Linked DNA regions of Cricetulus griseus. The protein of the gene in region 2 purifies or fractionates together with the protein of the main gene of each other region. This does not show direct contact. Links are inferred from orthologs where the notes say so. Each region holds a gene or a part of one and is shown on either strand. Other genes may lie near its edges.

The links. The genes of interacting proteins can lie anywhere in the genome.
Region 1: the proteins of Tuba1c (region 2) and Txndc9 purify together in Homo sapiens (co-immunoprecipitation; 3 studies listed by BioGRID and IntAct, counting the BioPlex papers as one, with this or other methods). This does not show direct contact. The link is inferred for Cricetulus griseus from reciprocal best matches to the Homo sapiens genes TUBA1C and TXNDC9.
Region 3: the proteins of Tuba1c (region 2) and Cct6a purify together in Homo sapiens (affinity purification with mass spectrometry; 3 studies listed by BioGRID and IntAct, with this or other methods). This does not show direct contact. The link is inferred for Cricetulus griseus from reciprocal best matches to the Homo sapiens genes TUBA1C and CCT6A.

The regions. Positions count from the first base shown.
Region 1 is NW_023276807.1:10,255,642-10,259,575, reverse strand, and holds the start of Txndc9 (thioredoxin domain-containing protein 9), read right to left. Parts: upstream 2,801-3,934; 5' UTR 2,787-2,800; coding exon 2,669-2,786; exon of another isoform or gene 2,628-2,668; intron 1,460-2,627; coding exon 1,251-1,459; intron 1-1,250. UniProt on the Homo sapiens protein: Significantly diminishes the chaperonin TCP1 complex ATPase activity, thus negatively impacts protein folding, including that of actin or tubulin.
Region 2 is NC_048595.1:395,480,224-395,482,672, forward strand, and holds the end of Tuba1c (tubulin alpha-1C chain), read left to right. Parts: intron 1-875; coding exon 876-1,850; 3' UTR 1,851-1,949; downstream 1,950-2,449. UniProt on the Homo sapiens protein: Tubulin is the major constituent of microtubules, a cylinder consisting of laterally associated linear protofilaments composed of alpha- and beta-tubulin heterodimers.
Region 3 is NC_048597.1:109,109,636-109,113,834, forward strand, and holds the start of Cct6a (T-complex protein 1 subunit zeta), read left to right. Parts: upstream 1-1,399; 5' UTR 1,400-1,463; coding exon 1,464-1,600; intron 1,601-2,385; coding exon 2,386-2,449; intron 2,450-3,401; coding exon 3,402-3,536; intron 3,537-3,897; exon of another isoform or gene 3,898-4,036; intron 4,037-4,165; coding exon 4,166-4,199. UniProt on the Homo sapiens protein: Component of the chaperonin-containing T-complex (TRiC), a molecular chaperone complex that assists the folding of actin, tubulin and other proteins upon ATP hydrolysis.

The sequences.
Region 1 (3,934 bases), on a different chromosome or scaffold from region 2:
GAGCTCTTCCACTGAGACACACACACACTCAGGTCTATACTTTAAAAAGAATAATGTTCTTACAGGAAACTACGGAATGCTGAGAATGGAGAAATAGTCTTCTCTAGGGAAGAGCACACCAATTGGTTATTCAGTACCAAATGGTCAGCCTTTAAAATGTACATGTGAGTAACATCCTACACACTGAGCAAACTAACGATATTTAGAAATACGTATGCATATATACACTTATGGATGTAACAACAATCGATGAAAACAGGCCATGAATCTGAAAGGGATGGTTTGGAGGGAGGGAGAAGGAGGGGGAAATGATGGAACTGTATTATAATCTCAAAAATAAGAAGTAATTAAAAAAGACAAAAAACAAACCACCCCATGAAATAAACCTGTCAATTTGGGGGGTACAGTGTGGTTACTGCAGTTCAGCAGCTTAGGAACCCAATGATCTCCTTCTGATAACAATCTCAAACAGGCAAGGGCTTCTAGACTAGCCATCAGTGAACAAACTCCTCAGAAGGAAAAGTATTCTACTCATGGGGTGTCCAGAACCAAGGAAAACCTCACATATAATTCAACTTCGAAACCCAAGGCACACACCCCTATTAACCAAGCCTGAGAACTCTTTCAGCCCCTTCCACCTTTCCCTTGGCAGAGACTTTGTCACCTCAACTAGACGCTCACTATGCCTTTCAATACCCTTCCCACCATTTACTGAACCTTAATGACCTTTCTGAGCCTTCATTTTCTCTTTTGCAACTGGATATGATAAAACAATCATCTCACTGAGTTTTCGTGAAAATAAATGACAATGCAGAACTGGGCGTGGTGGTACACGCCTTCAATTCCAGCACTCCTGGAGGCAGAAGCAGGCCAGTCATGGCTGCACAGTGAGTTCTAGCCTGCCACCTCCACTCCTCCAAAACAGACAATTTAATAAGAATGCACACATGCTTAAACACTTAGAAATATCTTTTCCCATGGAACTACTGTATGTCTTCAATTTGATATGTGGACCCTAAGATTGGTCTGAAAGAGAAGTTTTAATCTCTCTCTTTACATGCCAGCTCCTTGGTTACATGTTTTATCTTGCCTAAGTCTTCCCTCAAGTTTTATTCCTGGGAAAACATTCAACAGTGACAGAGAGTTCAATTCAGAACACCCTGAAAATGAGGAGGGAAGGTCACATGACAGCACACTGCAGTCAGGAGCCAGTGCCAAGGCGATTTCAGGGAGCAGGCCAGAGGGGTTACTTGTTTCTGTTGGTGGGCCTTCCTGAGTGCCGCCAGCCTCTTTTCTTTGAGGAGTTCCAGCTCATCTTCACCGATTTGATCCAGTTTCTGAATTTCAGAGTCCAAGTGACTTTCCACGAGCTTAGCAGCCTGGAGGAACTGGTTCTCTATGACCTCTGAGAACATGTCGATGGATCCATTACCTTCCATTGTTCTAAATCGTCCTGATGCTGGGAGAGTCAAAAACAAAAACAAAAACAAAAACAAGCATTTCATTTACACTTTGGGGGTTTTGTTGTTGTTTAAACACAGGGTCTTGGTAACAGGGCTTGAGACAGTATCACAGTAGAAGTCATTTAGTCATTCTGAGACCTTAGAACCTAGCATGTAGGCCCCAACACCTGCTGAAACCGGGATAAAGACCCAGTCCATCAAAGACCTGGTCCACAGTTCCAGGACCCAGGGAAGTCTCTAATTGTACTAACTTCCTTTATGGCTTCTGTAAATTTTAGCCATTTTTTTTCATGGACATTGCCATAAGGAGTTTCATTCCTATACTTCCTCAGAAATACCCTAACGAAAAACAGCTATACAGGAGGTAGGTTTATTCGAATTGGAGGCCAGGAAAAGTGAGACAGGAACAGAAGACACTGCGTCCAATCATAAGCATAGAGAAACGAACACCTGCATGCCTGCGTCCAGCCTCCTCTCTACACCTAATCTAGGTTTACCAATTCGGGGAACAGAACGGTGCTGCACAGATGGGCAGGTCTCCTTGCTTTAATTAAAGCAATCAAAACCATCCTCACTCCCCACTAGCCAGGCCCACGGTCCAAGCCGATCTCACAGACGTCTCAGAAACACCACAAAAATCATCTCACAGACAAAATTATCCCCGCAGGAGAAATATATAAGAATATAAGGCTCGGAGCTGGAGAGATGGCTCAGACAGAGGTTAAGAGCACCGACTGCTCTTGCAGAGGTCCTGAGTTCAACTCCCAGCAACCACATGATAGCTCACAACCGTCTGTAATGAGATCTGGTGCCCTCTTCGGATGTGCAGATATACACGGAAGCAGAGTGTTGTATACATAATAGATAAATAAAATATTTTTTAAAAAAAGAATATAAGGCTCTGCACTCGGGATTAAACAAATGACCGGCCACGAAACGAGCTCGTCAGAATGTTGACATTATCTAAGCACAGCATTCGCTTATCCACGGGGGAATCTTTTTACAGGGAACTTTTGCATTGAGGTTCGGAGCTTCACGAGAGCCGCGCTAGGGCAGGCGGTGGTGGTCGCTGCCTTAGACGGGGGCGGAGGGGTCAGGAGATGGATGGCTCAGAGGTTCCCCATAACTTCCTGTTGACTGAACCAGCCCGAGTATTCTTCTTACCGATGAACTAACTCGGGGGCTGACACCTAACAAACTCCTACCCGAAACCCCGACCCCAGGTACCGCTCTGCAGATTCTTGGCCACTCCCTGAGCTCCAGAGACAGGTGGAGGAGTTCCGGGGGGACGATACTCGGCACCACCTGGGGCCTGGGGCGCATGCGTCACAGCCTCCGGCGCACACACCAGGCTGTCCCGGCCGCGCCCTCCCCCCGCCCCGACCCCGCCCGGCCGGGTGTGCAGCCGCGACACGGCCTTCAACCCTGGAAAGCGGCTCCTCCTTTGCGTTACCCGGGCTATCGGTGATGCCTACGAAGGGAGGAAGTTGCAGCTCAAGAATGCCGATCGGGTTCACGCAGGTTTCAGCCTCGCAGCGGTTGTTAAGGGCGAAGGGTCTGCCGGCTCTTCCTTTTCATTGGCTAACGTCCTCTCGCGATGCACGGTGAGACAACCGCGGAAGGGGCGGCTGGCGAGTGACGAAAGCCTCGGAGAGTGCGAATCTCCTCCGCCACCCGGAACTACAAGATTGCAGCCCCACGCTTGTGGGCTAACGACCGGAGGCATGAGCGCTAAGGACGTTGGGAATTGTAGTTTTCCTTGTGCGCAGGCTGCGCGTCCGCACTCGCTGTGCTCCCTCGAAAGGAGCCCGGTCTTGCTCCTGGGCGACCATGGGGCTTCGTTTCCTTTGCGTTTAATGGTTTCTAAAGTTGAAGCGTAGCTCACCACAGTGCACTGTAACTACGTAGCTCACACCAATCACACCGCCCCACACCAGATGGAGAACATTCTTACCGCGTCAGTCTTCCCTCCTGATTTCCTGCAACGCATGGAGTCTTTAGAGCTTGCTCACACGAAGGATTCATATCGTGGGAATGGTCGCTGTACCCTTGAGTCTTTCCCCCTTAATAAATGTGCACAGTGCTGCTAAGTGTACGAAGTGTTATTTTATACACGAGTGTTAGTTACCGAGGGGGACCCCCTTTTTTTTTTCTGGGTGTTACGTTCCCTGGGGAACCCCGGAAGGCTCATCATGGGCTCCTTGCGGTCCCGTAATGGATGAAACTCCCTGCCACTGAGGAAATGCAGGGTTGAGGGAGTTTTCAGTGCCAGTCCCGAGTCGAATGCCAGCCCCGGGGAGGGTGCTGACGTGAGTGGGAAACGAAAAGCCTCATTGTCGACAGGGCTCTAGGTTCTAGAATCCGGGAGCTGCCGGGCGTCGGCGCGCGGCAGTCCCCTGCGGCTAGGGGGCGCTCGGGTTCCCACCTGGCCGGCGGGTCCACTGAAGACGCTCTATCCGAAGCGCCGCTCT
Region 2 (2,449 bases):
CTCTTGTGTGTAATTACAGTGTGGACCTATAAGATGAGAGAACTGAAGGATTAGTAAAAATGTCTGCAAACTTAAGAGTTGCAATGGAATACTTTATCCGAAAGGTCACAACTTAGGGGTAGGGACGGGGTCTTGTAGTAAGTCTAGTGTGTACAAGGTTCCATCTCCAGGACCGTAGAAAAGTATGGAGGTCAAATTTGGCCTGCTGTTTTGTAACAATTACTAGTCAGAGTAGACCAGTTGAATGGAGCAGGGAGCTCCAATGACCCGAGGTCTGGTGGAATGCTGATTAAATAATGGAATCACCTTGCCAGAATGAATAACACCCTCCTGCCTCTCACCCCCCAACACCACAAACTTAGTGCTTCCTGTGCCAAGCATTATTCTAAGAACTCGTTTAATTTTCAGCCTCAGCTGGGTCACTACTCTGATTTAGTGAGATAGAGAAATTAATTTGTCCCACACGAGAAGGTGGGACCCACCCCCCACCCAGCCTGCCACTACCCAGGGCACTGAAACTTGGTCATCCTGTGTTCCAGTTTAGATGTTTCACACAGATCTGGCAACGTGTGAGGTCTGAATCTGGCTGGCCCTCAGTAACTCCAGCTGATGACAAAGGTGCCCTTGTGGTCTGATCCACAGCAAGGTCACTAGAGCCCGCCTTCCCAGCCTCTAAAGCATGCTATGTGTCTGTTCAGATCTAATGTCCTTTAAAATCAGTTTTAGGGAAGTCTGAGTGACTGAGCATTTCGAAGCCTTTCATAACTACTCTTGGACTCTGGAACTTTATTGGTAGTTAGTCACAGACTCATAAACACCCACTGCAGCTTCTACATAGATGTCTCTCAACATTAAAATGAGCTTTTCTCTTACAGGCTGACCAGTGCACAGGTCTTCAGGGCTTCTTGGTTTTCCACAGCTTTGGTGGGGGAACTGGCTCTGGGTTCACCTCCCTGCTGATGGAGCGGCTCTCTGTCGATTATGGAAAGAAGTCCAAGCTGGAGTTCTCCATCTACCCAGCCCCCCAGGTTTCCACTGCTGTGGTTGAGCCCTACAACTCCATTCTCACCACCCACACCACCCTGGAGCACTCTGATTGTGCCTTCATGGTAGACAACGAGGCCATCTATGACATCTGTCGTAGAAACCTCGACATTGAGCGCCCCACCTACACTAACCTTAACCGCCTCATTAGCCAGATTGTGTCTTCCATCACTGCTTCCCTCAGATTTGATGGAGCCCTGAATGTTGACCTGACAGAATTCCAGACCAACCTGGTACCCTACCCTCGCATCCATTTCCCTCTGGCCACATATGCCCCTGTCATCTCTGCTGAGAAAGCCTACCATGAGCAGCTTACAGTAGCAGAGATCACCAATGCTTGCTTTGAGCCAGCCAACCAGATGGTGAAATGTGACCCTCGCCATGGTAAATACATGGCTTGCTGCCTGCTGTACCGTGGGGATGTGGTTCCCAAAGATGTCAATGCTGCCATTGCTACCATCAAGACCAAGCGTACCATCCAGTTTGTGGACTGGTGTCCCACTGGCTTCAAGGTTGGCATTAATTACCAGCCTCCCACTGTGGTACCTGGTGGAGACCTGGCTAAGGTCCAGAGAGCTGTGTGCATGCTGAGCAACACCACAGCCATCGCTGAGGCCTGGGCTCGCCTAGATCACAAGTTTGATCTGATGTATGCCAAGCGTGCCTTTGTGCACTGGTACGTGGGTGAGGGCATGGAGGAGGGGGAGTTCTCTGAGGCCCGTGAGGACATGGCTGCCCTAGAGAAGGATTATGAGGAAGTTGGGGCAGACAGTGCTGAAGGAGATGATGAGGGTGAAGAATATTAGCCCATGTGCTGCAATTTTACACTTCATTGTCTTGTGTTTGTCTTTGTATGTATATGACTGTCTTACACTATCAATAAAGGTGTTTCCATATTAAGTGGGAAACTGGCTTTTGGTTCAGCTTCTTTTCCCATTCTGCCTCGAGATGGCATCTTGCCATGAATGCTGTCACTGTCCTGATTTGAATCCTATTGATGACCCATTTAGTGGGCCCAATTGAGGCTAGTGATTAGTTGACCATTTTCAAGTACCTTCTAGTGTTCTGTGCTTACTAGTTTGTTTCATTATGCATAAGTCTGATTTAAAACATTTTGTACTTAGACCACAGGTCAGAGTCCCTGTCAGTCGATCTCAAATGCGGTATCGTGTATAGCTATTAATGTGCAGAATGACTGGCTCTGAATTGGAGCAATGCTTTACTAGTTACTAGAGGACTTTTTTTTTTTTTAAGATTTATTTATTGCCAGGCGTTGGTGGCGCATGCCTTTAATCCTGGCACTGGGGAGGCAGAGGCAGGCAGATCTCTGAGTTCCAGGCCAGTGTGGTCTCCAGAGCAAGTGCCAGGATAGGCTCCAAAGCTACACAGAGAAACCCTGTCTTGA
Region 3 (4,199 bases), on a different chromosome or scaffold from region 2:
CTACTATGCCTGGCTTTGTTTCATTCTTGCAATAACTATTAGACAGATGTTGAGGAGAATCAGAGTTTCTTATTTCAATCAAAATGGCAAAACCTCCAGTATAGACCAGCATAATATATCCAATGGTGTTATGAATTGTCATCTGTGTGGAGAAGTGATTCCTATTGATATACATGTTTATAAAGTCAGGTAAAAGCTTAAAAATTGAGCACATATATATACCTAAGTGCTCAGACATACAGGCAGGAAAAACATACATACACATAACATTGTTTTTAAAAAAAAAAAGTTAAAGGGGGTCTGGAGATATGGTTCAGTGGTTAAGACCACAGGCTGTTCTTCCAAAGAACCCGGGTCCAATTCCCAGTACCCACATGGCAGCTTATAACTGTCTGGTAACTCCAGTTTCAAAGGATCTGATACCTTCACATCAATGCACATAAAATAAAGTTTAAAAATTATTTTTTTAAAAAAAGTTAGAGTCCTTTCAAAGGCTGGGCACCACTGTCCAACTAAGCTTGAGTTTTTAGCAGGCATACAAGATCACACCACTTTGGAGGTTGAAGCAGGATTGCTATGAGTTAGCTATCAGTCCAGGCTATACAGTGAGTAGGTTAACCGGGGCCAGAGTGAGACCTTGTTTCACATACAAAAATAAAAAAGCCGGGTGGTGGTGGTGCACGCCTTAAAGCCTGCACTATGGAGGCAGAAGCAGGCAGATCTCTGTAGATTTGAGGCCAGCCAGGTCTACAGAGCGAGTTCCAGGACAGCCAAGGCTACACAGAAAAACACTAACTCGAAAAACCAAAAACCAAACCAACCCTGAGTCCACAAATCTGCCTCAGTGACCTGGGCCCTAAGAATAGACTATTAAGTCTCATCAACGCCCATCGCGCCAATCTCGTCGCTCCTAAAGCCATCCAGGAGTTTCTACCTAGCATTATACTCGTCTTTCCCGGATTTAAATCACCAGAGTACCAGAGAAGCGTCCTTTATCTGTGTTCCTACTTTTAAGGATAAAAGGAGCGATAAAAATGAGTCTAAGAAACCTCGCGAGAGGGTGAGGGGGCCATTCCCGGAACCCAGAGTCCAGTAGCTACAGACACGCTGCAAAGCGAAGCCCATGCCTCTGCTTCCTGTCACACCCAGACGAGTGCTGAGGCCGAAGAATCCCTCACACAGCAGGCCACACAACCTCTGCGACCAAAACGGAACCTTAAGATGCGGAGTGACGATTGCCAGAGAACAAGTTTCTCGGATGCGCAATGACGCCGCAACTGAGCGTGACGGGCGGAGCCTCGAGAGACTAGCGTCTGACTGAGCCAATCATCGAGCAGCAGCGGAGCCGCAGTCCAATGGAGGTGCGCTGGAGGCACGCTGGGGGCGGGCCGGGTGCGTAAGACTTTTCGAGAAGACCCGCATAGAGCACGTTGTTCTCGGCCTCTCCCTGAGCTCGGCCGGCCATGGCGGCGGTGAAGAGCCTAAACCCTAAAGCCGAGGTGGCCCGGGCGCAGGCAGCGTTGGCCGTGAACATCAGCGCGGCACGGGGCCTGCAGGATGTACTGAGGACCAACTTGGGGCCGAAGGGCACCATGAAGATGTAAGGCCGGGATGGCGGGAGGGCGGGCCTGGCGGGCCCATGGCCGCAAACTCGAGCCGCCGCCTCCAGGCCTTGGCTTTCTACGATGTCTGTGCAGCCTCCCAACCAAACCGCCCAGTTCACTCCTTTTGGGATTGCCAGGCGCACCCACTTCCTTTGGAGGGAGAGGGTGGCGTGTGCACCTTTCCTCTACCCAGCCCCGTGACCCCGAGCTTACTAGGATGTAGTTGTAACCAAATTTTATGGGTTTTATTTTTTTTTACCTTATAGTTGGCAAATTGATGAAGTTCACTGGGCCGCAGCGCTTTATTTTACTCTGCTCTTACTACCTATGCCTTTTTCCCCTTGTACCCGCGTCCCAAAAGACGCTTGCTTTCATGTCATATATCCCATTGTCTCCTTGTGGGCTTTTCATTATGTATTTATTTGGGCTCTGACTGATCTGCTCTGAGCTGCCTCGAACTTACAGAGATTCACTTGTCTCAAAAAGAGAGAGAGAGAGAAGCCGGGCAGTGGTGGCACACGCCTTTAGTCCCAGCACTCTGGAGGCAGAGGCAGGTGTATCTCTGTGAGTTCGAGGCCAGCCTGGTCTACAGAGTGAGTGCCAGGACAGGCTCCAAAGCTACAGAGAAACCCTGTCTCAAACCACCCCCTTCCCCAAAAAACACAAATAAGAGAGAAAGAAAGAAATATGCCCTTCCCTTTGACTTCTTTATGGAATTCTTAATTGGGTTTCCATTGAAAAAACGTTACATGTTGCTCATCAGTTTCTGCCCATTTGACAGGCTTGTTTCTGGTGCTGGAGACATCAAGCTTACTAAAGATGGCAATGTGCTGCTTCACGAAATGGTAAGAGGTTGCCGTGCTACGTTAAAAAATAAAAATAAGAAAAGCTTGACCTCCTGTAGTTTTGCTAGTGTTGGCATGTTCATTATTGAGGTGGCTCATATCTTTGAAACAGAAATGTAGAAAATAGTGTACTGGATGAAGAACTCTGCTTGGGGAGGGGGCCTTTTTTTTGTAGTCTGGGTGGTGGTGGTGGTAGTATGCTTTAGTCCTAGCACGATGGAGGTGAGCCAGGTGGTTCAAGGCCAGCCTGACCTACAAAGCAAGTTCCAGGACAGCCAGTGCTGTTACATAGAGAAACCCTCTCTTGAAAAACCAAAAACAGGGCTGGAGAGATGGCTCAGAGGTTAAGAGCACTTCCAGAGGTCCTGAGTTCAATTCCCAGCAACCACATGATGGCTCACAACCATCCGTTATGAGATCTGGTGCCCTCTTCTGGTGTGCAGCTATACATGGAAGCAGAATGTTGTATACATAATAAATAAAATCTTTTTTTTTTTTTTTAAGAAAAAACAAAACAAAAATCATAGCCAGGCAGGGCTACATAGTGAGATGCTGTTTCAAAAACAGGGCAATTGGGAAAGAAAAACAAAAACCCTCATATTCCTACCAAACCACTGGAGAAATGAAGCTTTTCTTGCATCATAGATAACCTGCTTCTGCCTCCTAAATGCTGCGGTTAAAACTGTACACCGTCACACCTGGCTAACTATATATTCTATATGTTGTTATTTTGTCCCAAGGGTTAAATGAAATTGGTCCAAGCATCCATTTGTTTACCAGAACTTTCAGGTCCAGCAGTTTAAATCCCAGAAAAGAAAATGACTTAAAAATCCAAGCAAAATGTAGCCAAGCTGGACACTTTACGTGGATGGCTTTAAAAGGAGCCTGTCTTACATTTTACCTTAGGTAATGGTTTAAGTCATTTAAACAGTTCTTTTTTTTCTACTTTTAGCAAATTCAACACCCAACAGCTTCTTTAATAGCAAAAGTAGCTACAGCCCAGGATGACATAACTGGTGATGGTACTACATCCAATGTCCTTATCATTGGGGAGCTGCTAAAACAGGCAGATCTCTACATTTCTGAGGTATGCATGATAAAATTGTTTCTGTGGTATTTTTGGTGGGCTCTTGGTGCAAATTGATGCAATACTCCCTGAGAGCACACCACAACTGTAAGGTCAAGCTGCTTAAATCTGGGAGCCTGTGCTTGTCTTTATCATGGTCCGGTGTCAACTATATATAAATGATAATATATTTATATTTAACGGACTTGTCTCAAACTCAGAGAGATCTAGCTGGTTCTGCTCCATACCTGGCCTAGTCTCTGGTTTTTTGTTTTGTTTTGTTTTTAATAATATTTCAAAATAATGTGAACTAACTGCAGACAGGATAAGCATTTGCTGACAGCAGAACTTTAGGAGCTAGTTTTGGGTTTGGTATTCTGGTTTGCACAGTGAACACCCAAGTGTGCTTTGTCTGTGGTTCCCTTGGCCTTGACTCTGTGCTAGAGTAAAGTCTGTTCGTTTCCTCTGCATTGAAAGGAGTACTGTGTCCTTTTAAATGTATTCAGAAAATCAGCACATCATGTTAGCTTAATTGTATTAGGTATGGGTCACTTAGGGTGTCCCTTCAAATGTTACTGGACTTAGTGAATTGTTGCATCTTGTTGAAGATGCAAATGTTGGCAGTGGTTTTGTAACTGTTTTGATTATAGGGTCTTCATCCCAGGATAATAACTGAAGGTTTTG